Linked DNA regions of Arabidopsis thaliana. The main gene of each other region encodes a partner of the protein of the gene in region 2 in a complex. Each region holds a gene or a part of one and is shown on either strand. Other genes may lie near its edges.

What was found. The genes of interacting proteins can lie anywhere in the genome.
Region 1: AT1G11560 (region 2) and AT3G12587 share a complex: the UniProt entries of both Arabidopsis thaliana proteins name them as parts of the oligosaccharyltransferase (OST) complex.

What each region holds. Positions count from the first base shown.
Region 1 is NC_003074.8:3,993,761-3,999,265, forward strand, and holds AT3G12587 (Oligosaccaryltransferase), read right to left. Parts: upstream 1,912-5,505; 5' UTR 1,678-1,911; intron 1,410-1,677; exon of another isoform or gene 1,337-1,409; intron 940-1,336; coding exon 826-939; 3' UTR 580-825; downstream 1-579. Other genes in the region: AT3G12590 (uncharacterized protein), read right to left, coding at 2,713-2,787, 2,926-2,994, 3,105-3,165, 3,263-3,723, 3,921-4,538, 4,658-4,933, 5,049-5,246, 5,454-5,505. UniProt on the Arabidopsis thaliana protein: Subunit of the oligosaccharyl transferase (OST) complex that catalyzes the initial transfer of a defined glycan (Glc(3)Man(9)GlcNAc(2) in eukaryotes) from the lipid carrier dolichol-pyrophosphate to an asparagine residue within an Asn-X-Ser/Thr consensus motif in nascent polypeptide chains, the first step in protein N-glycosylation.
Region 2 is NC_003070.9:3,878,220-3,885,447, forward strand, and holds AT1G11560 (Oligosaccharyltransferase complex/magnesium transporter family protein), read left to right. Parts: upstream 1-3,407; 5' UTR 3,408-3,568; coding exon 3,569-4,600; downstream 4,601-7,228. Other genes in the region: XTH8 (xyloglucan endotransglucosylase/hydrolase 8), read right to left, coding at 470-878, 1,289-1,491, 1,590-1,690, 1,863-2,067; NTL (NTF2-like protein), read left to right, coding at 4,998-5,384, 5,663-5,737; AT1G11572 (Plant thionin family protein), read left to right, coding at 6,236-6,505. UniProt on the Arabidopsis thaliana protein: Subunit of the oligosaccharyl transferase (OST) complex that catalyzes the initial transfer of a defined glycan (Glc(3)Man(9)GlcNAc(2) in eukaryotes) from the lipid carrier dolichol-pyrophosphate to an asparagine residue within an Asn-X-Ser/Thr consensus motif in nascent polypeptide chains, the first step in protein N-glycosylation.

The DNA of each region.
Region 1 (5,505 bases), on a different chromosome or scaffold from region 2:
TTGTGAGTGTTGTTGTGTTTATGATTGTGTGAGGAAGAGAAGGCAGAGAGGTGTTTGTTTATATATGAATGAAGAGTGGGTCGGCAAAGAGCTTTCGAGAACGTTCACGAGTAAAGATCTCAGCCGTTGGATCTTATTTTTGCGCCATCTAATTACTATTGTTTCCTTTTTATTTTGTTATCGCTTCTAGCTCCTTCGAGATGGGTCTTTTTTAAATTGTCAAATAGTAACTCCCGTTTTGAAAACAAGTTATTTCATCACCCAATTAACATTTTTGTTTTTTTTGCACATTTTAAAGATAAAAAGGAAATTACTTTTTCTTTAGTCCTCAATTAATTACTAGTATTTCAATCGCGTTAATGAAATATATTATGAATTTATTATTGATTGGATATATATATGGGGAAAAAAATAGTTTGACCCAAATAAATGGTTTATTTACCAAATTAACTCATAAGATATAAGAGATAATCTAGTTATTTTTATGACCAAAATAACCAAAAAATTTACCCAATTTGACTCAAAACTTTGTAAAAATAACTAGAATGACTCAAAACTGAACTAGAATGACTCCTCGCTTTGGTGTTTGAGATTTTTTTTTGCTTAAAGAAAAAAATTCAAAGTTTCATCAAACATTCGAACAACATAATTGGAGGGAACATATATATGCACATGCATATAAAATTGAGAAGATGTGAAATGGATTAGGAACATCTTGAAAACATTATCATCTCAACAAAGACTGTTATTATCTCTTCTCAGTTTGAAACACAGATAATACTAGTATAAACTAAAAAGCCTTACATCATTCTAAAATATCATCACTCAAGTGGCTTCGTATTTGGGATCAGCAGTTACGTAGTGATAAGCAATTACCAATGCGAAGATGAAGATGCCAAGAAAGTTGGCAATAAACCCCAAGTCCTGATCATCGATCATCTGCACCAACCAACACAAACAATACTTGAGCAACAATTCTTTTTGTAGTAACAGACTAACAGTAATGGAATCAGTGTTGCCTTATTGTATCTAATCAGTTCAGCAAAATGTTCGAATAAGGATCCCATTAGAGTCTCTATCATCTTTGGCGCAGCCAGATTTCTACTAAACTTTTCAATTTCACCAAATACAAAGTCCACAGAAGAGACTACAAGGGTAACATTGCAAAGTTGACTCCAAAGTAGAGAAACCATAATGGCAAACAACAAGGAGCAGCTCCCTAAACTCAACTAGAGCCAGAGGCAGAGCCAGACCTAAATTCGCTTGATCACTGCTAAAAGAACGGATTGATAGTAATAATTAATAACCAACAAAAAAAAAGACCAAAAAAATGGGATGATCCCAGTGGGAATCGAACCCACGACCTTTAGATTCGGAGTCTAACGCGATATCCACTCCGCTATGGGATCACATTGGAGAACAAGTTGAGAATTTATGTAAAAACCTAAAACGTGACACAATCCGACAAGAGAATTTGGCAGTTCTCGTCGACAGAGACGGATTCAAAGGACCATCACACACAGATGGCCGCCACAGAGACAATCTCTATCGCGAGAAGAACAGCTAAGAGTCTAAGACTAACCAGATCATAAATCAAACACACTTGTCGTCGAATCAGAAGATCACTCAAGAAGAAATGCATATATATACATAGTTTTAAAATTGAGCGAGATTTACCGTTTTATCGGGACGGAATCGGTGGGAAAGGATGAGATCTCCAGACTCCAGGGACCAGAAGCGATTTGCAGAACAGAACAAGTATTGGATCTCACTCTCAGGGTTTCGATGTCTGAGGGTCTTTATTTTGCAGGCCTGGCCCAATAGTAGTATTTAATTACTTTTTAACAATTGATTTATCTGTGGATCAAATTGGTAATTGTATGTTTCTCTCTTGATTTTTTGTTTGTCAAATTGATTTTAACAACTGTAAACTTCAACTCCTTGTGGCTTCTCAGATCAGATAGTGGCAGCCAAAATAATGACAAGAATTTATATTACAAACGCACCGGTTAGGTTCAGTCACACTAATCACATAACCATTTTAAAAGCAAAACATTCGACACCCAAAAGGCCCAAAGCCTCTATCTCTAGTTCTCTACACAACACAATCCTCCTAATTGGTTTTGTTCCTGACTGTACAAAAGCAGAGCTCCAAGAAAAATAAAATTTCTAGAGCTGCAGCCTAGGTTCATGATTTGTTTTACACACACAGCTAAGAGAAAAAAAAGCTTCAGTTTGTTAGCCCAAAAAATGACATGCCGGCAATTATCAGAAACCAACCCACTGTTTCTGTAAGTTCCTTAAAGCCGCACCATTCCCGCAGAAAAAGGAGAAGGCGGGACCGAGTTATTTCACATTTCTGTTGATCCCTTCGGCAACTCTTTACTATCAACACCTTTCTTCAGAACCTTCAGATCTCAACCAAAATTCAGGAAGGATTTAATATCACAAGAGTGCAAGATAGCCAAAGTGATGTCACACACGTAGCCATATCTGAATTTTGACTTGCCGACTCCCCTGCTTGCTACTTTCAGCTACGAGTCCAGTATTCTATGAATTGTCATTTTCTTTCACTAAATTCTCTTCCATCTCTTTTCACGGCAGGAAGCGGATAATTAGGGTGGTGCTAAAGTAACTCTCTAAGATTCTCTGAAACTGATGAACTTACATAAGCCATATATAAGAAACTGGAGGCTTATGAGAGCCGCGAGTTCAGAGCTCGTTTGATAGCTGAAGTATACCACACATCTGCAGATATGGATTCTCTAGCAGTTTCTCATTATTGCTCTGCACAAAACAAGAATACAATCAATGTGGATCATTATTATACATGAAACAAAACAAAGAAAGCTCTTTGATTTTGAGGTTCTCTTTGATATTTCCGGTTCTACGCATCTACACCCTGAATTATGACGATAGCAATACCTGCTGAGCCTTAAAGACAAGCTTCTGAAGCATGTTTTGGTATTTCTCTGGTTCCTCCGTCATCATCCTCTGAAATAATCCAAATTTTAACCGGTGAGCCAAAAAATATTTGGAAACTTATTATTCTTTCAATGATGTCTTTCCAAAATCAAAATGGTGAATTTGAAAAATCCTCTTGCCTTCAGAAGAAATGCTGAAGAGTAATAAGCCACCCTTGAATCAGTATCATCCAGGAGTTCCCTGCATAGATAAACATAGGTTAATGCCATGAAACATGTTGCACAGATAAATCATAAATCATCTATGGTTTGGAAGCATGGAAAAGTCAATCAATTACCTAAAGAACTCCTCTCCGCCAACTTCTTGAAAAGCAACTGTATCGGCGGTGCATTTACCAATCAGAAGTAATAGCAGGGTGGCTCGAATATCAGAGGTTGCCCCTGGAATATTTCCTCTACCTTTGCTTCCAACGGCGACACCAAGTGCAATGTTGTCAGTTGCTGCACCTGCTAGTTGAATCAGTGGCCAATAAAACAAAGCTGCTGGCACACGCGCAACCAGCTGCATAGGAACAATGGCCTGTCCACGAAGAAGCATCGCTGCCATTGACGCTGTCTCACACGTTGAAACAGAGACGTTATTGTACCGAGGCTTGGTGTCACCTTCATCCACACTTTCTTTATAGCTGTTACGATGAGAAGTATCAAATTTGCTATTCCTATCCGCAGAATTGGGGACTGCATCCTCGTCAGTAGACAAAACTTTCAAGCACAATTGCGAGAAAAGAATGTCACACATCTGCTTGGAAACAACAGAGAAAGACACAAGTGAAATTTAACTTCATCTGGGTGAAAATTCCAATAAGAGGTATAGACAGAGTTATCTTCTACGCCAATTATTCGACATATAGAACAGCAGTTACTATATATATCAGCAAGCTTTAGAGTGGCTTTTGGTAGGATATTTGACAAACAGAAAGGTTCTAAGGAATGTACCTTTAAGATGTTAATCCGGTCAGTTTCATTTATTTGTGCCATCAAAGACAAAGCACTGCTCATTATGTCTATAACAGCATTTGCTTTCTCTAGTCGTTTGTCTTTATGGTCCTGAGTAGCAACTCCACCAGTTGATCGTTGGGTCTCATTCTCGTCTAGTAAGAACTTGGAGCGCATAAGTAGCCTCTCCAGAATAAATAGGAAACCCCATCTGATAACACTGTTCCTTGACTTCAAGAGTCCACATAGGAGATGTATGGAAATAGGTACATCAGAAGTAACCAGAGAGTCTGAGGTACCACAATGGGCAATCTTTTGTTGCAGATCTTTTATGCTCAGCCATATACTTCCACCGCTCTCTTCACTAATTTCTGCAATCAGAAGATCCCCCAACCAGATATACCCATTTTGACGGTATGTGGTCCTTTCTGAATGAAGAAGAGAGTGCAAAGTAGCCCAAGCTAGATTCACGGACATGCTTATATCGTTTCTTAAATCTAAAATGCTTTCCATGAACTTGGAAGATTTGGTAATCTGTTTGAGATGCAGGAACTCTTTGTCCAGGTGAGTAAACGAACCTATTATTGTGTCAAACTTTTCTGTTATATTTGCCAAAAGCTGCAAGAAGGAAAAATTAAAGAGTTGGAAAAGAGCTTTGACTGACAAGCAATTTAAGTTTTTTTTTCCAGATATCCTCAGAAGATCATTTGCAACATATTCTACAAGTTTAAACCTACCTGGTTAAGTCGTTCGCTGTTGCTGAACCCAGACAATGCTGCAGCAATTGATCTTCGCAGGATTTCTCCTATGCCTTCAACACCAAGCTTAACAGAAATGTAGAAAGCTTCAGGTGCATCAGCAAGAGCAAGCCGAACAGCCAAAGGTTGAATCTCATCATCAGTGTACTCAGAAAGACCAGCAGATGAGCATGCCTCATTAATTTGATGCAGCACATAGTCAAATAAAACCGAGTAGAGATTTCTTCTTTCCTCTCTAGTGGTTGCCAAAGAGTACTGTACCAATAAAATGAATCCCTTAATATGCTAGAAAACCATTGGGGATCGAAGTGTCTATTTGGATAATGTTTAGAAAGATCATTCAGTCTAATAAACTATATTTTCTTAGTACCTCAAAGAAAATGTATTCTACACCACCAATCAGATCGACCTGGTCGATAAGAAAATTTGAGGCACTTGAAATTGCTTTGTTAGAGCCTTCTGGTTCTGGAGATTGATAAAACATATTCGTCATGATACAAATAAGCTTGGAATGAACAACTTCTGACCAAGAATTCCTTTTGCTAGTTCCCAGAAGAGCTTTTATAACCTGATTCAAGGAAAGTAACTGGCTCATCAGCAAGTACAACTTGGCTGAGAAATGGTAACATGCAGCTGGAAACAGAAATCATAGTTACGAAGGTCTAAAAACAAAGAGAAAGGACAGATCCAAATGAAAATAGGAGGAGAATTAAAGAAGGAATAATCCACATAGCAGAGGGCAAAGATTATATTCAGCCTCGTAATACTAACGTACCCTTATGTCAAGACCATTTAGCTGGTTTCTCCGTATTTTGCCTCTATCACAG
Region 2 (7,228 bases):
CTTCAAAGAAATCAAAAGTTGTGGGTTCTTCTAGAGATGCTACTACTACAACGATCGATGGACGATTGTCATTGATGTTATCGAATGGTAAATCGGACAAAAGTTTCTGGATATGCTCTCTTATAATATCACAATCACAAATGCTATTTCTTTTCAATAAGGTATTTGGGCTTCATTAGTAGCTGTAGCTGAACCTTTTGTTTGTCACATGTCTTTACTCTTATGCTCATCCATGTTCGTTTATATTTTTGACCCACTGTTCTGTTCTGAGACCTTAAGTGTAAGAAGAATTCTCAAGTTAATATACATCTTAAAAAGCAGTTATGAAATATAGCCGACTAAATAAATAATTAATTAAATAAATAAACAGAGGATATAGTCCATAACAAAATAAGAAATGCCAAAAAAAAGAGAGTAAAATTATTACATAAACCATTTCCACTTTAATACACTCAAAACAAAATTGATTTTAAGCCCAAGGGCTAATGGAACACTCCCAAGGAAGAGTAGGGAACCTCTCACTGTCTTTGCAATAATCGTATACGACGAGATTACGCTGCACCCACGCATAATCCATCTTCTGTGTCTTGGACAAATGCCACGCGTCGTACTGATCCCACCAATTCTCTGTTGTGGTAGAGACGCATGCAGGGAATGGATCCTTCCAACGGCAGCCTTCGACGGCGAAGTCCTTGTAAGAAGAGACGAATGGAGCTTTTTTCCAGTCAGTCTTCTCCAGACCACCACGTGTAGCCCAATCGTCAGCGTTCCAAATGCTGGAGAACAAGTACATCGGCTTCTGGTTCGGGAAGAAGTCGTTGTTTGGTACCTTATCACTGTTCTTGTATACTCGAATTGGTACCCTATCCACGAAGAACCTGGTTTGGATTGGATTAAACCGGGTTATGCATTGTACCAATCGATAAAATTAGCTTTGATTGACCAATTCGGTTCGAGTTGGTCTAGTTTGAGTTCTTTAAAGTTTGGTTAAGATAGGCTTGCTTTGGTCGGTTTGAACTTTAAACCAGATTGGAATTTTTGTGTCGGTCGAAATTTGAATCTGCACCATTTAAGTTTTCTCAAAGCTAAACGTAAGAAAACAGGATTGAACCTATTGTGAAATTAATCTGTAAACTGAATTATGTTATTGTGAGTGGAATGTTGGTTCTAACTTCGAACCGATCATAAACCTAAGGTTCCGGTTTCTACCCAAAATTCCCGGTACAGTTCGTGGTATCTCTATATATGTAGCCAACTAACCATTAGCCAAGATCAAGAGAGGACTTACACAAGCTGGTGGTTATTCCAAAGAATTGAGTAGGTGTGATAATCCTTGGTCGGGTCGAACCAGAGGGAATGTCGCATCTCCCGATTCCCGGTTCCGTTCTTATACACATTGGTCTGAATAATGTAAGGCTGTCCGGTTCGGTTCCCTAGAAATTCGAAATCTATCTCGTCTCTCTCCGGTCCTGCCCCATTCTCCGAACACATCTGCTCAACCAAATTTAATCTAAAATAATTAATACAAAACAAAATCATTGGTTATCTTCTTTACAAAATTGAAACATTAAATAAGAACGACGGCTCACGTAGTAAGCGGTGACGACGCCGGCGGAGTCGCCTCCGACGAGCTTTAGCTTCATACTAAACCATCCGAATCTATACATGTGCTTTGTCTGAAATCCACATCCTGTTTTATTTTTTATCCAATCAGAATATTTAAACTTTCGATATAATAATCAAGAGACTAAGTTAAAAAATGTCATGTAGATTTAAGTAGGAACAGAGTAAGTATCAGTGTAATTTCGAAAGACTAGAACGGCATTGATCCTAAACCGGAAGCAAACTGGATTTGAACGTACCGGTGTCGTTATCTAAGGAAAGATTCCAGATCTCTCCATCATCGGAAGTCGTGAAGTGATTTTCAGACCACATAATGTTGAAATTATCTTCAAACGATTGTGTCGGTGTTGCTGCGATAGAGGACGACGCCATTAGAGCCGTCATGAACAAGAACAGAGCCGTCATGGCAGAACAGCTCGTTATGATCCTCCTTTCCGTCTCCATTGGTTGTCTCTACTTCGAATATTTCGAAGAGAGAGAGAGAGAGAGGTAATGCAATCTACACTTGTTCCGTGAGTGAGAAGAGTATAGAGCTTTCTTGCTTTTATTATAAAGACCGGGGAAATGACTGTTTTGACCATTAATAATTCTTTTAATATGCTATTGCGTTTAGACTTTTGATACGGTTTTTTTTCTAAGATTTTCATGTAATAATGATGTTTACGATAATTTGTAAAAGAAAGCAAAAAGGGTAAATGAAAAAGTTTAATTAAAGAAAACTAACAGTAAAACTCAATGATTTTTATGTTAATCAAGTGTAAACTGTTTGGTTATAATACACACGGTTTAGCTAATTAAAAGCCGACCGGTTTATTCATTAAGTTGCTGAGATAGGTCATTTGAACCATATTGATGAGCTAGCAAGGGTACTATAGGAAATATAGAAAACAACAGCAGAACATGGAGAATTGGATCTCCAGGCTGCCACCAAGTGGAAGTGGGATCCATAGAAATGTTCATGTAAAAGCAAAACCAAAAACATTATTTAACTCTGTACTTTAATTCTTTGGTTAATCTTCACTTAGTAAATCTGATATGGGAATATGTCTAACAAAACCCAAATAATATAGGCGAACATGCTTCGGAACATAATATTTTGTTCAACAAAAGAAAGAGTTTGCCTTGCCTCTCTCATATTTTGTTAGCCCAAGACAAGGCACGTGAAACAAGCACGTTATGAATAAGAAAGCAGGGAAATAATACACCTGGAGTTACTAAATTATTAGGTTGACAAAGATTAGTTTATTGGATTGTCTCTTGCATAATCCGGTATTCTTACATTTTTACATAATTACTATTTTTTGTATGGATATGAATGTTTCAGATCTAAGATTGTAGACTGAGGTTTATATAATACCACAAGTATATGCAACTCGACCTTGTTACTTTAGACTATAATAGAGTAGTATTAAGATTATGATAATGACAAAAATGATTTCTTATACATTAATAATACCATTTAAATGATTTACGAGCGATGAAATAAATATGCATGGTCTAGTTTTATGTAAACTCTCTAATCCATGTATGAGTCTCTCTTTTTTGTATTACTAAGTGGTTTCTCATATGTTTCCTGTAAAAGAATCTCAACTTGTCGGCATGTCGGTCCTAATAAGAGAAACCAGAAGTGATCATCAATTTTATTGTTAATTATAGAATGTTTAAGTTTCACATATCATACAACAAGACAGTTTGGCCGAGTGGTCTAAGGCGCCAGATTTAGGCTCTGGTCCGAAAGGGCGTGGGTTCAAATCCCACAGCTGTCAATTTCTTTTCCTTTTTTTCCCTTCTTTAAAACTAAACCCTCTAACTCATCAAGAAGGTTCAATCAAACCTATAAACACCTAGAATTTTGAACAGTTCTTCACTTCTCCAGTATTTCCCGGCAATTCCAGATCTCTCTATCTCCTTTCTTCTTCAAATCCAATCAGAGAGTGATCTAAAAATGGTGATTCAAACGAATCTCTCATATCGTTTCTTCATCTTAATTGTGTTTTTATTTACCCTAGCGAATCCAAAATCAGATTCAGATCTCAAAAACGAACTAGTCTCCCTCCGATCAACCGCCGAATCAGGCGTGATCTCCTTCAACAACGACGACGTTTCCAAATTCATAACCTCCGTATCCACTCCTAGACCTTACTCACTCATCATCTTCTTCGACGCCGTTCATCTCCACGGCAATAGCCAGCTACGTCTTCCAGAGTTCCGCCGCGAATTCAGACTCGTCTCCGCCACTTTCATCACCAACAACAACAATGAATCTAACGGCACAAAGCTCTTCTTCTGCGAGATCGAATCAACTCACTCCGAGGCTTCTTTCCGCCGCTTCGCCGTCGAGTCACTACCACACATTTCCCTCGTTAGCCCCACGACAGAGAATTTAACAGAATCAGATCAAATGGACGGTGGAGATTTCACTGGATTAGCCGAATCAATGGCAGAGTTCGTCGAACGTCAAACAAAACTCACCGTTTGTTCAATCCAACGACCACCACTCATATCAAAGACACAAATCGGAATCATCGTTGCTATAATCATAATCTCGACTCCGATTCTCATCAAGAAGATTCTAAAAGGAGAAACACTTCTCCATGACCATAGAATCTGGTTAGTTGGCGCGGTTTTCGTCTACTTCTTCAGCGTCTCGGGGACAATGCATAACATCATTAGAGAAATGCCAATGTATATCAAAGATTATGAAGATTCAAGTAAGTTTGTTTTCTTTATAGAAGAATCAGAGATGCAGCTTGGAGCAGAAGGTTTCTTTGTAGGGTTTTTGTATACTGTTGTTGGATTGCTTTTGGCGTTTGTTACTAATGTAGTTGTACGAGTCAAGAAACTCGATGAGCAAAGGATGGCTATGCTTTTGGCTCTGTCTATATCGTTTTGGGCTGTGAGGAAAGTTGTTTACTTGGATAATTGGAAGACTGGTTATGAAATTTACCCATATTGGCCATCGAGTTGGCGGGGATGAGTGATCTTCACGTAAGGTTAGTTTTTCAAGATTGTGGAACTGATTAGTTAGTGTTTTGGCTTTCAATACTTGAACATGCATATAGCCAAGTTTATAGTTTAAAGATTCAATAATTGCAGTTTAGGATTCACGAATTTGTGCTAACTAGAGGAATGATTGCTCGAAGACTTATAATGCTTATGGTGTTGCTTTGCATCCATTGAGAAAGAGTACTCTACCAAATAATCGTTGCTTTACTATGTGTGAAGGTTTGGAAAAAGATTGTATGCAATACTTGACCCACAAGAAACCTTCTTAAAAGTGAAAAGATTCTCTCTTTGTTCTTTTCTTCCAGCTTTGTTTAAAGTTAAGCATCTAATTCCTTCACACCCTAGAATTTAATTACTTAAGAGAGCTCATGTTAATATTACTACTGTTTGGTTTTGCTAAGAAAATCAATTTTATTTTGGAAATTTTGACTATGGCAGAGACAAATAAAGGAATTGAAGAAGAAGTGGCAAGTGCTTTTGTGAATCACTACTACCATCTCTTTGACAACGATCGATCATCGCTTTCTTCTCTCTACAATCCCACCTCTTTGCTCACTTTTGAAGGCCAAACGATCTACGGCGTGGATAACATCTCCAATAAGCTTAAACAACTTCCGTTCGATCAATGCCATCATTTGATCAGCACCGTCGATTCTCAGCCGTCTTCAATGGCCGGTGGATGTGGTGGAATCCTAGTTTTTGTGAGCGGTAGCATCCAATTACATGGAGAGGATCATCCTCTTAGGTTTAGCCAGGTCTATCTCTTATCTATTTGTAATCGATTCGAAGGTTTCATTTGGTTAAAACAATCTTAGGTTTAGCTTAATCGATTTGCATAAAACAAAATGTTATTTTCATTGTTTTCTAGTTTCCATCGGTTTATCTTGGACCCCCGCTATAACAATCTTCAATTTTTAATGTTGTTACTAAATTATATGAATCAAACTATAAGCTATATAGTATGAGCCTGTATTATTTTATTTTTGTTGGATTTTTAGCTGACTTGAATAATAACATTATTTATTAATTGCAGACGTTTCACTTGATTCCGGTTCTGCAAGGAAGTTTCTTCGTCCAAAATGAGATGTTTCGGCTCAACTATGGTTGAACTTATTATAACTTTAATGTTTGTAATCGATTGATCTCTCTTATACGCCGAAATCCAACTGATAATGTAGTCAAATATTTTATGAAAATCTATCGTTTATCTTGACTAGTAAAACATATTGACTTTTTCTGTTATTTTCATATATGTAAACAAGTTTCGAGTTATTGAAAAACATTCGGCAATTATAGATTGGAAAAATCCATACAATATAAGACTATTAGTGAACGTAGATTCACATGATCCACTTTTTTAAAAAAAGCCGAATAAGACTTTTCTCTGCTCTCATATAATCTCGTCCACTCAATAGTTATTAAAAATAGGGATATCTCTGTGTATTTTAAAAATAGTGAAAATTGACGAAAAAATCGAACAAATATGAGGCTACTACTATCTTTTGACTCTTGACCATTCTCTTTTACTCAAAAACATTTCCTTCTCTTCCACGAAACCATTTTTCTCTCTCTCCCTTTTCCTGATCAACTTCTCACGAACTACAATATGAAGAACCGGAGCAAAAACTTAGCCACCCTGAGTTTGATGATAATTACGTTATTGACATGGTCGGATATCGTAGTAGGACAAGAAGCACTACTAGGAAAGAAAGTATTGCCGCTATGCCACAGAGAATGTATGCCAATATGCATGAAAGTGATCGAAGCCACGCAAGACATTTGCGAACCTGCATGCCAATCTGGTTGTCTTCAGCTTCAAGGTAGAGGCACCGGACTTTCAGCTTCCGATCAAGGAGTCGATATGGTCATTGCATAAATTAATATCTTTACCGGAAAAAGAAATCAAGATTTTGATATTACCAACATAGTTGCTTGATGTCGTTCACATGAATAGATTGTAAAATAGGGTTTCATATTTTGTATGATAAATGCATCATCCAATCCCTCCAAAACTAAAACAAAATGTAGTTAATCTACAGAATCCGACATCGTATACAATTTTTGTTTTTATAATTCATGGGGACAAGAAGAAGATCCCTTATGTGTTCGTCTCTTTATCTCATGATCAATCCTAAGATCATTTTAATTTATTAAATAAAATTACAGGTTAGCTTACAAACAAACAGTATATATATTGATACAAATCCAACGTCAGAAGAATTCATAAATAAATATCGATCGAGTGAGAGACAGTTTATAGTTCTTCTGAATTATTTTTGCAACAAAAACATAACAAAAATTATTCGTCACAGGGGTTATGACATTTAGCAAAAAAAATTACTTTGTCATAACCAAGTTATCTTTATCTCCGTTGTTATTTTAAATTGAAAAAAATGGATGACATACTAGTAATCTAGTATTTTCATAATTTTCAATCAATATGTATTCATTGATCGTTTAGGATAATGTTCAATTCTGGAATTTTGAACAATCATATAGCTCGTTAAACACACACAGAAAACAAATGGCTAGTAAATAAAACGATATGTCCAAAATATTCTTGCCATATTAAATTTAAAATATTTTGAATTTATTTGTC